2 linked regions of the Notamacropus eugenii genome follow. The main gene of each other region encodes a partner of the protein of the gene in region 2 in a complex. Links are inferred from orthologs where the notes say so. Each region holds a gene or a part of one and is shown on either strand. Other genes may lie near its edges.

Region 1 (8,083 bases), about 130 kb from region 2:
GCAGCTGAGAACTGGTGAGCCCATAAATAGCTCAGTGATAAATACCCCATAACACCCCTGAGCAATAGTCAGGAGACACTGAAGCCCTAAAATCCCTGGCAGCTCCTAGCATTCAGTAAATAAACAGAGGGCTCTGCTGGACCAAAGGCCATTCCCCCCTCCTTCATGCAGGGTTGATGGATCAGGTCTCTACCCTAAGGACTCAAATATGGGACTGTTGGGAGGGAGGAAAGCCTGGGGAGTTTGAGCTGGCCCACATAATGAAGGCAGGCCTCAGGACAAGGCATCGAGGGAGATGCTGAACTTGGGCTTGGCTTTGGGCTTGGTTGAAGCCACACTCCTCTTTCGGAGGGGCCCTTTGGGAGAGGCAAGAGGGAGGGAGTCCAGGAGAGTTCGATCCTCCTCCAGCTGGCGGGCAGTGCAGGCAGGGGTAGGCACCTTGACAGTATTGCCAAACTTAGAGTAGTCCACTGAGTAGCGGCCATCCTCCTCGGCCACGATGGGAACAAAGCGCTGGCCCCAGAGGATCTCATCTGCAAGGTAGGAGGTTCGGGCCTGTGTGGTGATGCCTGTGGTCTCCACCACACCTTCCAATATCACAATGATTTCCAGATCCTGATGGTGGTGCAGGTCACTGGGGGCAAGGTCATACAGGGGACTGTTGGCATCAATGACATGGTAGATAATAAGTGGAGCCACCAGGAAGATGCTGTTGCCACCCACACCATTCTCCATAGGAATGTCCACCTGGTGCAAGGGTACAACCTCGCCTTCAGGGCTGGTGGTCTTCCGGACTACCTGCATGCGGATGGTAGCACTGATGATCATACTTTTCCGGAGGTCACCCACACGGAGCATGAAGCAGAGGCGGCCGTGGCGCATGGCGATGACCGCATGCTTGCTGAAGATGAGTGTCTCTGCCCGGCGGTGGGCTTGGGCTGTCTTCATGAAGATGCAGCCCAACATGATGGCATTGACCATGAGCCCAACGATGTTCTGCACGATCAGCACCAGGACAGCCAGTGGACATTCCTCAGTCACCATGCGACCCCCGAAGCCAATTGTCACCTGAACCTCAATGGAGAAAAGGAAGGCAGAAGCAAAGGAGTGGATGCTGGTGACGCAGGGTATGAAAGTGGCATCATTCTCCCCAGTTTCAGTTCTGGTGCTGTGGTCCAGGTCACCATGAGCAAAAGCAATGAGCCACCAGGCCATGGCAAAGAGTAGCCAGCTGCAGAGGAAGGACATGGTGAAGATGAGCAGTGTGTGGTGCCACTTGAGGTCCACCAGCGTGGTGAAGACATCCTGAAGGAAGCGGCCCTGCTCCCGGATGTTCTTGTGGGCTACATTGCAGTTGCCATTCTTGGCCACAAAGCGGGCTCTTCTCTCCCGGGCATGGTACCTGGGCTCTGTTGGATCCTCTGCTAGCCGAGTCAGTACATACTCCTCAGGGATGATTCCCTTGCGGGACAGCATGGCTCAGGCCCTCCCTAGGCTTCCCCCATTGGGGGCTCCTATCAGCCTAGCCCTATCCTCTCAATCCCCAGCCAAGATGCACCTTCTGATCTTGTCACCCCCTCCACCCCAAGTCAAAGTTGGCAAGCAGTCAGGTAATCCTCCACCTTTCTTGCCTCTTGTTCCCAAGTCTCCTAGCTCACTTCCCCACTTCGCAATGTTATGGCCATCAGCTCACCTCCTACACTCTGCTCTTGCCCCAGTCATCTCCTGGGACTCTCCACTGTCTCACATCAGTAGCCCCCAGGCTCACCCACTGAACCTATCTCCTTACCTACTGACCCGAGCCACTCTCTCCATCCCACAGCTCAGGCCCAGCCTCTTACCACCCTAACTCTCTCTTTATCCCTCTCCCCTTCCCCTCAGTTCCAGCCCCCGCCCCCCCTTGCCTCCTTCACCGGAAGCTCTCTGCTTGCGTCCGGTGCCTCTCTCCACAGGGTCTGGGGACTCCAACCCCTTCCTCCCTCTCTTCTCCAACCACCACCCCAGCTCGGCGCTTGCCCCTTCCAGCACAGGGCCTCCTCCTTTCCCCCTCCCCTTGAGCTCAGCACCTGCTGCTGTTCCTCTAGTCGCGACCGCTGCTCCCTAACCCCGCCCTCCGCACCAGTGCCAGCCCCAGTCCTGTGTCCTGGCTTGTCAATCTGTCTCTCTGTCCAGCGTCCTCTGACACCCCGGCTTGGGTTCCAGCACCGGGAGGGAGGTGGAGAGCTGGGAACCCTGCCGAGATGAGATAAGGCGGGGTGGAGTAGGGGAGAAAATTGATTGGGGTTGTACTGAGGGTAGGATGGTACAGGGGAGTGAGAGGTAGGGTGGTGGTGGGAGCCTAGGAGCAGAGGGAGGCTGGGCGTGGGGTGAAGAATGGGAAAGGAAGGTAAGAACTCAGGGAGGCTAACGGAGTGGGTGGGATGGGGGAGGATATAGGAGGCAGACGTGGGGATCGAAGGCTAAGGGGGCAGGAGATGCAGAAAGCCGGGGTGATGGCGGGGGAGGATCCGGAGGCTGGTGCGGCTGGGGGATGGGAATGGGAATGGGACTGGGGGAGGTAAGAGCTCAGGAGGTTGGAGGTGATGGGGGAGGGGGAAAATGGGGACGAGAGTGGGAATAGGAGCTGCTGTAGGGAAGAAGGATCGGAGATGAGGGCAGCAGCGGCAGGAGCACCGGCGCAGGCCCAGGACAGGAGGGCGAGATCGGGGGGACTGTCAATGCGAAGTCCCAGTACTGCAGCGGGCAGGGAGTGGGGACCCAGAGGCCACCAGAGGGAGTATCTGACCCGGGATCAGCTGCAGCCCGGAGGAAGGCGGAGGACTGGGGGTGCGGGTAGAAGGGAGACGATTGCAAAGATGCGGCTCCGCCTCCTCCCGGGCCCGCCCCTGGACCCAGAGGACGCCTGGGAAGGGTGCCTGGGGGGGTCTCTCTATCTCTGTCCCTCTCTCCCCATCATTCCCTCCTTCTCTCCTCATTCCTTCCACTCCCAGGTTTGTTTGTTTTGTGGGAAGGAGGGGGCTGGAGGAAGTCCTAGGGGCGGCCAACTCCCCACCATTTACTTGGGTTTGGCCCTTCTCCCAGCCGTTTGTCCGTACCCCTAATGGCTGAGGGAAAGTAGGCAACTGCTACTTCTGTATTTCACGGCTTAGGACTTAGAGGGGGAGGGGATACCCTTCATAGACCCATAAAACTGGAACTGAAAAGGCCCCTGGAGCACATTTTACAGACTGAGAAAGCACAAGGTCATATAATGAGCTTTTGATGGAAGAACCAGGACCCAGGTTTCCTGAAGCCCACTCACCTGAGTATATTCAACTGAGCTCTTCCAGTTCCTGGATTCAGGACATCCTTAAGGCATATGCCTTATTGATTTTTCCATTAAAATTTAAATTGTACAGGTGTGCCTTTCTTTAAGCAAACCTGAATGCTGGACAATCATAGGATGATCGACTTTGAATGGGAAAGGACTTCAAAGGTCTTCTAGTTCAATTCCCTTCCAAATCTACAAATCGGATAAAAGAGGGAGGCATTCTCTTTATCGAGAGATTCTTCACTTTAAAAAATGATTCACAATATGCTTTCTTTCAAATGCTGAATTCCAGTCAAATTTTAATAGATTCAATTTTCAAAAATCATTTTTCTGCAATATTTCAGAGATCTGCAGGCAGCCTTTTAGGTGACACAGTCGATAGTGTGTCAGACCCGGAGGAATGAAGACTGGAGTCCATGTAAATATAATTCCCTCCACTGAGAGGGAGGTAGTGCAAATAAGTAGCTAGGCGATGCCGTGCTGGGCTTAGAGTCAGGAAAACCTGAGTTCAAATTCAGCCTCAGACACTTATTAGCTGTGTAACAATGGACAAATTATTCTGCCTGCCTCAGTTTCTTCCTCTGTAAAATGGAGATAACATCTACCTCCCAAGGTTGTTGTGAAGATAAAATAAGAATATCCTAAAAAGTGCTATGTAATTATTTGCCATTATTATCTGTATTTTTTTTTGCATTTATACTCATGGTACAACTTATTAGACTGTATTTGAGAGTCACTCCATGCCCGGATTCATTAAACTGTAGCCAGTCTGGTGATGAGCCTGCCTAGGAATTGCTAGGCTGGTATTCAGACAGCAAATATAGTCTGTTATCAGGCCTGAGTTGAAAGACTATCCATCTTAGTGATCCCTGCCAGAATTTGCCCTCACCTGGCATTGTCTTTGAAGACCCAGGGCCACTTCCACATCACAGTGAGACATCAGAAAAAGATTTTAGGGGAGCAGTGTGTAAATCCAATTTATAAAATATCATTTATAATATATCAACATTTTACTTGACCTTCTTGGAGTATAAGAAATACAAAAGACTTAGGAGCCCCTGCTCTAGTCTCTTAGAGAAGGATCCCCCAAACCACTACAGTATTTTCACCAAGAAAACCCCAAATGGGGTCATGAAGAGTCCAACATGACTGTAAACTCAACAACGAAAGCCCTAGTCTAAATGTTTGAAATCTGTATGATTTTTATTTTGAACCTGTGGAATAAAGAATAGAGCCCTCAATTATTTCCAGCTGGATCATTATTGCTTTTCTTTGCCTGGTTTCTTTTCAGTGCTGCCAGTCTTATACTTCACATTTTTAGGGCCCCGTTTCTGTCTACAGGACCAACCCATCTCCCGGTTTTCACTGCTCTGTTAACCTTTCCCCCAGAGGCATCATCTCTGATGGCTCATGATAGTATGGAGAACCTCACAAAGTCATGGTTCTCAGTAGAGGTTACTCTTCTGAACCCAAGGAAGGGGCTGGGCAGGGAAGGAATTACAGGAATCGTGTGTGTGTGTGTGTGTGTGTGTGTGTGTGTGTGTATGCAGGTGTTTGCCTACACCCAGGTTCATAGGTATCTTTTTCTATGTCTTCTCCTCTAAAGGCACCGTACTTGGAATCAGGAGAGTAGCATTCTTGTCTACACTTTGCCACCTACCATATCCATGACTTTGATTAAAGATAAACAAACTCAGCCAAGTACCTAATGTTACAAGTGAGGAAACTGAAGTCTCTAGAGGTGAAATGAGCCAGTTTTTTCAGCTTAGTAGGAATATGAAAACTCCTTGAGGATAGGTACTGTTTCATTTTTGTGTTCCTGTCTCCAACACAGAGCCTGGTATGTAATGAGTGTTTAATAAATGCTTTTTGATTAGCATTGACTTTGAGAACCTACAGTCACCTTCATAGCATGAAGAAGTACATACCTCTGGAGATGAGGTTAGTAGATGAGTGAAAACTTGGGGATGAGTTTAAGGCTGCCCGTTGGTCCTGTAGACAGAAACTGGGTCCTAAAATAGTGTAAAGAGCTACAAGATTGGCAGCTGAAATGAAACCAGGCAAAGGGAAGCAATGATCCAGGCAGAAATTCGGTTCTATTCCTTATCCCACAGATTCAAAATAAAGTATGTGATTTTAAACACTTAGAATGGATAAAGGGCTATTCATTTTTTTCATGTCATGGACTCAAATCTGTGGCAATCTAGTGAAGCCTCTGAACCCCTTCTAACAATAATATTTTTAAAGTTCATAAAATAAAATGTATAGGATAACAAAGGAAACAAATTATATTGAAGTACAGTTATTGAAATATTAAAAACTAAATTCATAGACATCAGATCCAAGGATTCCTGGCCTCAAAGGATTGCCTCTGTGATTGTTATCTTTCTGCTATGCTGTGGTTTAGAGAGTGGTACACTTTATTATGACATCATGGATTGATTACTTTAAAAATGCAGACATTTTTAAAAAGGAAACATTTCACAAGCTTCAACTAAGTCTTACTCTGATTCCTCATTCTGCCATCTTGACCTTTCTGAAGTTATTTGCTAGTAGTATGTGGAGTAGTATATGACAAAGTCTACCCAATTAGAAAGTTCCAGGAATGGGCTCAGCGATGGAGGGTAGGTTTTTGGTTCAAGGGTTCATCACTAACTTGTCATAGGGTTCTGGATCTTTCAGTTACTCTGGGGTTGTGATTTGTGTTGATGAAGGGTGTACCCACACTGATGAAATTAGAAGTACTTTGAAATATCAAAGTACTAAGCACATTAATTGTTAGCTTAAGAAGTATTTGTTGAATTGATTGCAAATTATAAGTCTAATAGTGGATATCCTCATGCCTCTCCCCCAATTGCTCAAGGGAAGCTCCAGAGAGAGTGATAACACCCATATGAGAGAGACAGAGATAGAGATAGAGATAGAGATAAATAGATGCAGAGAGAGAGAGAGAGAGAGAGAGAGAGAGAGAGAGAGAGAGAGAGAGAGAGAGAGAGAGAGCAATAAGAATTCTGGAGAATGGAAGAGTGAGGAGTAAGACAGAATCACTTCTTTTAAAATCTAAGTGGGCTATTCTTTCTGGTTCAGTAACCAATCTTCTTTGATAACAGTTTTGTTGCAATTCTCTCCCATCCTCCAACCACACAGGGACGGGAAACCAAGAAACTTCCCCAGGTTTGCTGTCCCATCCCAAACTGACAAGTCCTTCATATATCCCCCAGGAGTCCAGGTCAGGGGCCAGGCCAATCACCACCCACACTCCATGAGATGGCTACTGGGGCTAGTGTTACATGATGAATAGAAAGTAGACCTATGATTTCCATGGTATAGGGAACTCCCAAAGGAAAAAACTCCTTTCCAAATGCAGGTTGGCACCTTCTCTGCAATGTGAAGTCTTAGAGAGTTACCTAGAGAACTGAGAGGTTGTGACTTGGCCTAGGATCACATAACCATTATGTATTAGAAGCTGGAATTGAACCCTGGCTTTGAGGCCAGTTCTTTATCCATGATTTCATGTTTTCACATGTGCAAAGTAGTATGTATATTAGTTGAGGTATAGATGCATTTCTCTAGTAAGAGGCTAGTGCTAGTGCTATGAACTCTACCTACCAAGCTACTAGGATTCCAAATTAGGAAGAGGAAGATGAAGGAACTCCATAGGAAATTTGGGGGATATGGTAGGAAATAATTAATCTCTTTATTTACAAATGATTTACACAGCTAGAAAATCCATGTTGGAGAAGGTGGCAAAGAGGGGCAAAATGGCACTTGGAGTCACTCCAGCTCAGGTCACTTGTCAGCCCGGACAAAGGATGCAAAGACACTGTCTGGCTGGCTGAGCAGCACCTCGGGCTTATCATATTCCAGTATGGCACCACGCTTCATCACAATCACGAGGTCAGCATTCAGGATGGTGTGTACTCGGTGCTGTGGAGAGAAAGCCCAGATGGAGCCTTGATGCTTTGGCAAACTAGAGGAAGTTCTGAGGGCATGAGCTAAGGGAAAGAAAGGCTGACGGTATCTATAGTTGCAAGGGGAAGGGGAGTATGAATAGCTATTCAGCATTGGAAGCAAAAGGCATGAGTGGGTAGGAGAGATAAGGAAAGTGGGGTAATATGGGTGTGGGGTGCTTGGGTAGGGAATGAGGACTGGCAGGAGGGCTAGAAGTGTTAAATGGAGCCGAAATGAACCAGCAGAGATAAGTAAGAATCTACACTAGAAACTGAAAGATAGAACTCATGGTTCAAGTCTGCACCCTAACACTCAAGCTTATACCTCATCATGGGGCAGGGCTTTTTTTTGTTCCCAAGGAGATGTCTTCTCAAAGATCAGGGGGCCAGGTTTGACAAGATGGGGGAATTCTGTGACTGAGTCAGAGTCACAAAGCAGGGCAGAGTCTTTTAAATGGTTAACTATGTCTCTTTATTCCTTATCCACAAGTTAGATAATTAAATTCAGCATCAGAATCTAATACAGTGCATATCTAACTTGCTTCATGTGGGCACTGGGCTCTTCACTCACTGAATAGGGAAGTCACTTAGGCTTTCTGTATTTCTTGGGGTTACCTTTTTCCATCCTATCCATGTTACCTCCCTCTTAGGGTAGCTGGGAATGACCAAGATCAGTATAAACTAATCACCCTTATCTACTCCCTGCTTTGGGGGTAATAGCAACTAGGTAGCACAGTGGACTGAGTGCTGAACTTGAAGTCAGGAAGACTTGAGTTCAAATCTTGTCTCAGACACTTAGCTGCCTGATTCTGGACAAATCACT
Region 2 (8,184 bases):
GTTGGATAATCTCTAAAGTTCCTTCCAGTTCTAAATCTATGATGTTGTAGTTGTATTAAGACAGAAGTCCTAAACTAAATAAATAAAAACGCAACAAATCAGAAGTATAAATGCTGCCTATATCTACTGACCTGCTGAGGGCTAATACTTACCAGCAGGGGTGTGTGTGTGTGTGTGTGTGTGTGTGTGTGTGTGTGTGTGTGTGTGTGTGTGTGTGTTCATCATATATATCAAGGAGTGTGTTGGTAAATGTTTAACAACTGGCTCTCTAAAAATATACATGTGCATAACACACTTTTCAATTTAAGCTTCCTTATTAACATTTTATCCCGTCACTACATTAAGTCTGGATAATAAACAAAACAATGAAACAAGACTTGACTTGTAGCATAGCATTTGCCAATTTCTATGGTATAAGTGTTCACTCTGAAAATTTAACTATAGGCTTGAGCCCACTGAAGCTGGCTCCAGCATACTCTGCACATATGGTACATCAGAAGCTTGTGTATTATCAACAGGAGGGAGCTGCATCACTCTACTCATGTTTATTCAATTTTGTAACACTCCTCTCCCTCTAAAAACACAGGACATACTTTTCTATTTGAAAATCAAGATGTTTAAAAGAACATGGACATCCCCAACATAACAGAAACACCCTGGCATGTTACAAAACTTGAGTTGTTGATATTGACTCATGGAGCAAGCACTGGTAACTGCATACCTTTATGAGGGCATGTAGTAGTCTGATTGTAGACTCGGGAAGCCCTATCATTACATAGAAGCAGGCTTAGAAAAATGATCTTATCCAACACTAACCCTATGGATGAGTCCCTGCTATGCCATCTCCAAAGGGGAATATGTAGATTCTGATTCAGTGTTTGTGCACAAACTGTATACTGATTTCAAATCATGTCCAAAGGGCTATAATACTGTGTATACTCTAACACTACTAACATACCCCAAGGAGACCAAAGAAAAAGGAAAAGCACCCATATTCCTATGTAGAAATTCGTACAAATATGTACGAAAGTATTTTTAACAACTCTTTTTGTGGTAGCAAAGAGCTGGATACTAAGGAGATGTCCATCAATTGAGGAATGACTGAACAGGTTATGGTATATGAATGATGAAATATTATTGTGCTTTAAGAAATGATGAAGGGGATGATTTCAGAAAAATCTGGGAAGACCTATATGAACTGATGAAAAGTGAAGTGAACAGAAGCAAGAGAGCAGTCTGCACAATAATAGCAACTGTAAGGATAATCAACTGTGAAAGACTTAGTAACTGATCAATACAACGAGCTACCACTCCTGGAAAGGACTCAGTATCAAATGCTATCAACCTCCTGATAAAGAACTGATAAACTCAGGGTCCAAATCTAAGTGTATTTTTTTCCTTTGTTTTTCTTGCTTTTGGGGGAGGGTGGGTGGGCATGGCTAATGAGGAAATATGTTTTGCATGACTGTGTGTATATGTGTATATATATATATATATATATAATGGGCATCATATTTCTTGCCTTTTCATTGGGTGGGGGAGGCTATGGAGGGAGACAGAGAATGTGGAACTAAAAAATACAATTTAAAAGAGAACACAGTGAAATATATGCTGCTTGAAGACAGAAATGCCCAGCAATTGGTTAAATTCTGAAAAGCAGGCCTACCCAGGCTGTCAGGGCATCTGGATTAACTCTAAGCTTGGGTGCAAAGCTAAAAAGGAGACATGCTTAACGGGAAAGATCATTTAACTGAGAGTCAATTTAAGGATTCAAGTCCTAGATATGCCACTTCCTGTTTGAATGACTTGGGTATGTCACTTTACTTGTGAAGCTCATTTAACCCATTTGAAAAATGGGAGAGTTATGATCTATGGCCTTTGACCTCTGACTAGTGATCATTGATCGAGAGCTGGAAGAGACTATAGAGGGTAGCTAGTCTAACTATTATTATTATTATTTTAACAAATGAGGAAAAGGAAGCCCAAGGTCACAGGGTTAGTTATTGGCAAAGTGAGTATTTGAACTCAGGTTTCCTGACTCCAAGTTCAGCACTATTTCTCTGAATCTAAGTAGCAGTAACGTATCCTAGGGCACAGGAATTCATTAATCTAGGTAGGTTTCTATCTTTTCCCAAAGCTTCCAGCTCCTGGGAACTTAGTGGAACAGGGGACTGAAGACCTCTCGCTGAGATGAAGCTTTGGGGAGAAGGGAGGCTGGACATAACAGCCTCCTTCCCTTTGAGGGGTTGTTCTGAGGCTTAGTCCGGACTTGCACTTTGGGAAGTAGGGGAAGTAGGGAAGGGGGAGGAGGGAGACCTTGAATAGCACTGGAGGAGGGGACAGAAAGACGACCCTGCTGGGACTTCTCTGGACCCACTCTGAGTCCATTTACTTCTCACAGAACGGGCGGTGACCCCACTTTTAGCCCTGGGTTCCCCCCTCTCTCCACTTTCACTACCACCCCTCTTCCACATTAATATTACCTGGGAGCAATGTGGGGGTAGGGGAGGTAGGGAAAAGGGGGCTGGGACGCGGGGGAAGAGGGAAGAACCTATATCTCTTGGAGGAGCTTTCTGAGGTTAAGGGTTGGGGGGTGACCAAGGAAATTGAACAAGGACCTATGAAAGGGCCCCTCTGGGGTTCCAGGCCCTGGCAAAAGGAGTCTGGGGAAGACTGGAGGCCAGCGGAGCTGAGGCAGGAACGCAAACAGAGAAGGGGGCTGGAGCACACCAAAGTGGGGCTGGCAGACAGGAAAAACGAAGGGATGCAGAAAAGAACGGGCTCAGGGAGGAAGGGCTGCTTGGAGAAAAAAGAAAGAGGAGAGGGCACAGGGAAAGTGTAGGACAAGGGCGAACGAGGAAAGGCAGGAAAGCTGGGAGAGGCTGGGGATGGCGGGTGTAGGGAAGCTGGTGGGGTAGCTGGGAAAAGTGAGAGGAAAGTCTGTACTCCAGCTCAAGCCCCCGCTGCTGCTCCCCTCCCCGACCCCTCCCCAAGCCCAGTTTCTCGGTCTGGCACGCTCAGGCTTACCGATGAAGAGGATGGGGAAAGTGATGAAGAAAAGGAAGACATGTGGGACCACGTTGAGCGCATCCACAAAGCAGCCGTTGTTCAGAACGCCCTGGTCCACCTTGTAGGCGGCCGAGTCGTTCTCGCTGCCGCAGAAAGCCAAGGGCATGGCGGTGCGGGGGCCAGGCGGGCCGGGCCAGGGCTCGGGCTGCAGGCTGCGGGCTCACCAGCTTCCCTCCTACCCTCCCCGCGCCGCCGCGCTCTGGACCAGCTGTCAGCCGGTCTCCCACCCCCGCTCCACCCGCCAGCCCCGCCCAGTCTCTGTGACCCAGCTACCTGAGCTTCCACCTCTGCTCTCCACTCCCACCCCACCGCAACCCTAGACCCTGTTGGAGGTGGCACCGGTGTGTGTGTCCTATTTAGTGTGTGTGTCTGTGTACGCGCGCGCGCGCGTCTTAGGGGAGGAGGGAGTTTGCAAAGCCTCTGTGTGTGCGCGCCCATGTACGTATGTATGTATGTGTATGTGTGTACGCGCTAGTATGTGTGTATGTATATGAGTGTGTGAGCGCGTGCAAAGGAGCGTTCTGCGCACGTGCGCTGCTGGGTGAATGGAGGATGATCCCAATTATGTGTCTCTGCGCTTTTTCTTGACTTGGCTTCAGTTTGTGCTGGGGGCGCACTTTCCGTGGGCTCAGGTTGGGCGCGTGTGTGGGGGGGACTGGGAGAGTACTTCAGGGACACAGGATCGGGCTGAACCCGGGGCTCCCAAAGAAGTATGATACGAGGGTGGGGCAACTGGGGAACGCAGGACCAGAGGCTGTCTCTGAGCTGCTGGACTCATGTCCAAACATTGACTGCCTATTCCCGAGAGTCGAACAGAGAGACCCTTTCTCCCCCACAGCCTCCCGATTCACCCCGCCTCCCCCCCCAAGTCCATTGAGTAGGGGGATCCTGGAGGGAAAGGTCCTGGGGGCAATTAGGTGCCCTAAACCTGTACCCAGAAGATTCTGACCCCAGAAAGAAGTCCTGAGAACTATCATCACCCAATCTGGAGAAGAGAATCTCTGGTCACATCATTCTTTGGTCCCCAAATCTTCAGTGGCTCCCAGAGGCATACTAATAGAGTCTTTATGGTCCTTCAAAATGTGACATCACTGATCTGTTCGATCCTATCTAATAGTTTTCCCCTCCAATCATACTACACTCCAGACGAATTGGACACCTCTGTCCCCAAACGATCCAGCACATGCCTAATTAAAGGCATGCTTCCTACCTTATATGATATTCTGTGACTCTAGAATGTCCTCTTTCTCTGCTTTACCTACTGAGATCCCATCCAACTTACAAAGCCCAACTCAAATGCCACCTCTGCAATGATCAATCGCTGATCCCTCTCCCATAAGTACATTCTCCCTCAGAACTTTGCTAACTCTCTATTGAACTTATCCTGTAACGATTGCATGGAAAGAGTTATTATGTTTATTTCTTGTTCCACAACTAACTACATAGGACTTTCTATCTCCTTATTACCCAGAGCAGTTCTCTGCAAACAACTCAGTCACCAAAATAATCTATTAAGTACCTACTGTATGCAGCAGGTACTGTGCTAGATGCCAGGGATACAGACAGTAAATGAAAACTGTTTTCAATGAATTTGCATTATATGTATGCAATAAGTACTTCAACTTCAATCAACATTTATTATGAGTGGCCGCATTGGTATGAAAGCAGCACCAGCAGGACATAGTGAAATGTCTCAGGAGTCATGCCAGCGTAGGTCCGAGTCTTTTCTCCTGTACTTACTGACTGTGTGACTCTGGGAAAGCCCTCAGACAATAAATTGATTAATAGGTACTGATATGAGATGAGCTTCCTAGGGGGAAAATCTCATTAATAACCACACTAACAGTGTTTGCCCTATGGCTATTGTCTTAGCCTCCCCAAAGCATTTTTACAACTGTTTTCTCATACTGTCCCTCAGTACACCCCTCTAGTGTAGGTAAGACAACAGTTCTGAAAGACAGGCGTCCCACAGCTGGATCTGAGAGACATAAGTCAGGGAGGGGAGGAAATGGTTCGGCATCTGCTCATTGATGAGAACAATCTACTTCCTTCTTTAGTGAGGGTGGCAAAAGTGAATGCTTTGTAATGAGGTAGCAGAGGATTATGGAAGGGAGGTCATTTCTCCCTAGGAGGCTCATAGATTGTCCCCAGGATCAATGTGGGCAGGAAATAAATGTAAACTCATTTTAATGCTGACATTGTGAGGAAAAAATATGCCCTTCTTTCCCAATTATATGCCTTAAGTCGTTAAACATACTAAAGAATTTTGGATTATCAGGGTTTTGGATTATAGAGTATTATCCTTCTCCCTCCCATAAACATGAATAATGTAGAGTTAGCTCTAGAAAGACATCCCCTCACTCTTAGAAAATCTTTAATCCTTACATATGGATGAATGAAGTCCTTCGGGAGCTCCTGCTGGTAATGGGGACATGTCTTTGCTAAGGTTAATTTCTCTACCTTCGAGTAGAACTTGACTAAAACTACAGGGGGATGGAGGGGTATGTGATGCAGACCTGTGGAAGAAAGCAAACCTGAAATGAAGATGATCATAAGTTTAGTGAATTTATTTAGCAGCACATTACATATGCTGTCATGTGATTCTCAGAATAACCCTATGAGTTTGGTGGTATAATAATCATCACCATTTTACAGATGAGGAAATTGAGTCTCCTATAAATTGAGAAGCTTGTTTACGGTCATATAACCTAGACTACCTGATCCCAGACCCAACATTCTAACCGCTCTGCAACCTGTCTCCCTGAGGTAGTCATAATGGTAATAAGAATATATATATTTATAAATCAACACTAAAGGTTTTATGTACATTATATACATTTTCTATACATTATATACATTTCACATTATATACATTTACTTCACAATAGGAAGCAGCATGGCATAGTGGAAAGAGCTCTGGTTTAGGAGTCCAAGAGGTCTTGGATTCAAATGCTGCCTCTGATTCTAACTACCTGCGGTGACATTGGGCAAGGTGTCAAACTTCCTTGAGGCTCAGTTCCTTCAGTGGTAAAATGTGGGGGTTGAACTAGCAGGCCTCGGAGGTCTCTTCCAGTTGTAGATCCTATAACTCTATAAAGGAGGTAGACCAGAGATGATTGCTCATATTTCTCAGAAGTGGAGAATAGAGCTCAGAGAACAGTGACTTTCCCAAGGCTACAGGGCTAAGCAGTGGAGACAAAATGTAAACCAGGTCTTAAACAACTTTGAAAGATTTTTCTCTCTCTCTTTTTAATTGATTTATTTGTTTTCAGTTTTAAACAATCACTTCCATAAGTCTTAAATTTTCTCACCCTCCTTCCCCCTCCCTCCCTGAGACGACATGCAGTCTTAGAAGGGTTCTACACATACATTCTTATTAAACACAACTTTGAAAGACTTAAGATCTCTGATCGATGTCATTATCAAACATTGCAGAGGTCTCATGATGAAACATCATCACCGTTTTGGGACAGGGAAGTGATGGATTCAAGATGCAGAGTGAGATGCATTTTTGCACATGGCCAAAATGGGAATTTGTTTTGCTTGGCTATGGATATGTTCTGAAGGTTTTGATTTTCCTTTAATTGGGGAATAGGTGGGAGGGAGAGAAAAAAAATGGTTGTTAGTTGAAAAATAAATAATAAAATAAAATAAAAAAATAAAAAAATAAAAAAATTTAAAAAAAAAATAAATAAATAAATTATAAAATAAATAATTAAAAGCCCCAAGACTTGGATCTGAAATCTAGTGCTCTTCCCATGGTCACATGTCTGCCTTCCATTCTCGAGAGTGGTTTTTTGCCGCGCCCGTCAGAATTGATTTCCCAGGTGCTTATTGATGGCATCACTCATTTTGGCACTCACACTAACCTTCCCTGCGTGGTTACTTACCTCTCCTGATTGCAAGTTGCAAGTTCTCTCCCCACACAGATGGTTCTGCCTCTTCCAGAGCAGAGACATAGGCTTTTTGTGTCATGTTCCTATACCCTCTAGTCGATGTGCATAGCAGGGTTTCAGTAATTACCTGATGAATGAATAAATGAGTGAATGTATAGAAGGTATGATGTTAAGGACCATTTGAAAACAACCAGTTCATTTCCTGTGGCTTCTCAAGTGTGAATCAGTCCTGCCCAAGAGTGGGTAAGGACAAAATCAAGTGAAATGGACACACAGGTAGAAGGAAGGCCATTAGTGACTCCAAGGTTAAGTTATCTGCTCTCGTGATAAGCACCTGGGAACACTAAGCTGAGAACTGTTGTTAAGTTGTGCTTGTAAGGTCTTTACACTTTAAGCAATGAAAAGTGAGTGTGAAAACTGGAAAATTCACAGGAAGGTCTTTGTCTTTCTTTCATAATTATCTTTATGAGTTGAGAACCAGTATGGCATCATGGAGAGAGAGCCAGCCTTGAAGGCAAGAAAAACTCGACTCAAGTCGATTCATACTGTACCACATGACCTTGTTTAGTAAGTATTTTTTCATTTTAATAAATTACAATGAGTAAAGTGTCATATGTTTATTTCTTTTTCCAGTATCTAATGCTATTTTCCAACTGTTCTTCTTTTCCTATTGTCTAAATGGAAGAGTTCTATTATAACAATATGTATAGTTAGTTAAAACTAATCAAAACAGTTGCCTTGCTGAGAATGGATGTTTAGTTCCACAAATCTAGTCTTTGACTTCTCTGCCAAGAGGTGAAAGGTATATTTCCTTCTCAGTCAAGATTGGTTGCTGGTCAGCTTGAAGAGGTAGGTTGGAATTGGGAGTATGCTGGAACCAGCTCCAACAACTCCCAAAAGTCAATTATTAAATTGTGTGAGCATTTATACTTTTGAAATCAGCAAAAAAATCACTGTTTGATTTTTTTTGTTTTGTTGACTACATTCACTTAAGAAAGTGGTAAAGAAAAATTTAACAATACAGATTAAAATTAAAATATGTCCTGAGTACACCCCACTCCCTCCAGGATCTATAAACATTTACTAGCACAGTCCTAATTGGAATTCAATTAGAAGAGCTTTGAAAACAAGAAATTTCACCTCTTATGCCTTAAGAAGATTATGTTGCCACGTTGTGAAAGAGGAACTAGATGGTTTCTCTAGAGAGGTGGAAAACTTT

What was found.
Region 1: the proteins of ABCC8 (region 2) and KCNJ11 are in contact, whole or in part, in a cryo-EM structure (PDB 7S60), measured with the Homo sapiens proteins. The link is inferred for Notamacropus eugenii from reciprocal best matches to the Homo sapiens genes ABCC8 and KCNJ11. Residues at the interface, in NP_000343.2 of Homo sapiens: Phe5, Ser12, Ala13, Tyr15, Arg16, Val17, Val21, Asn24, Cys26, Phe27, Ala30, Val33, Val34, Val37, Phe41, Phe44, Ile46, Phe48, Ile49, Gly50, Trp51, Gly52, Ser53, Ser55, Lys57, Val58, His59, Ile60, His61, His62; in NP_000516.3 of Homo sapiens: Val44, Ala45, His46, Lys47, Asn48, Ile49, Arg50, Gln52, Gly53, Leu56, Val59, Thr62, Leu63, Lys67, His70, Leu73, Ile74, Met77, Cys81, Leu84, Leu85, Met88, Trp91, Leu92, Phe95, Ala96, His97, Gly98, Leu100, Ala101.

What each region holds. Positions count from the first base shown.
Region 1 is NC_092877.1:40,774,726-40,782,808, forward strand, and holds the start of KCNJ11 (ATP-sensitive inward rectifier potassium channel 11), read right to left. Parts: upstream 3,290-8,083; 5' UTR 1,477-3,289; coding exon 274-1,476; 3' UTR 1-273. Other genes in the region: ABCC8 (ATP-binding cassette sub-family C member 8), read right to left, coding at 7,100-7,237. UniProt on the Homo sapiens protein: Inward rectifier potassium channel that forms the pore of ATP-sensitive potassium channels (KATP), regulating potassium permeability as a function of cytoplasmic ATP and ADP concentrations in many different cells.
Region 2 is NC_092877.1:40,901,792-40,909,975, forward strand, and holds the start of ABCC8 (ATP-binding cassette sub-family C member 8), read right to left. Parts: upstream 3,279-8,184; 5' UTR 3,176-3,278; coding exon 3,028-3,175; intron 128-3,027; exon of another isoform or gene 1-127. UniProt on the Homo sapiens protein: Regulator subunit of pancreatic ATP-sensitive potassium channel (KATP), playing a major role in the regulation of insulin release.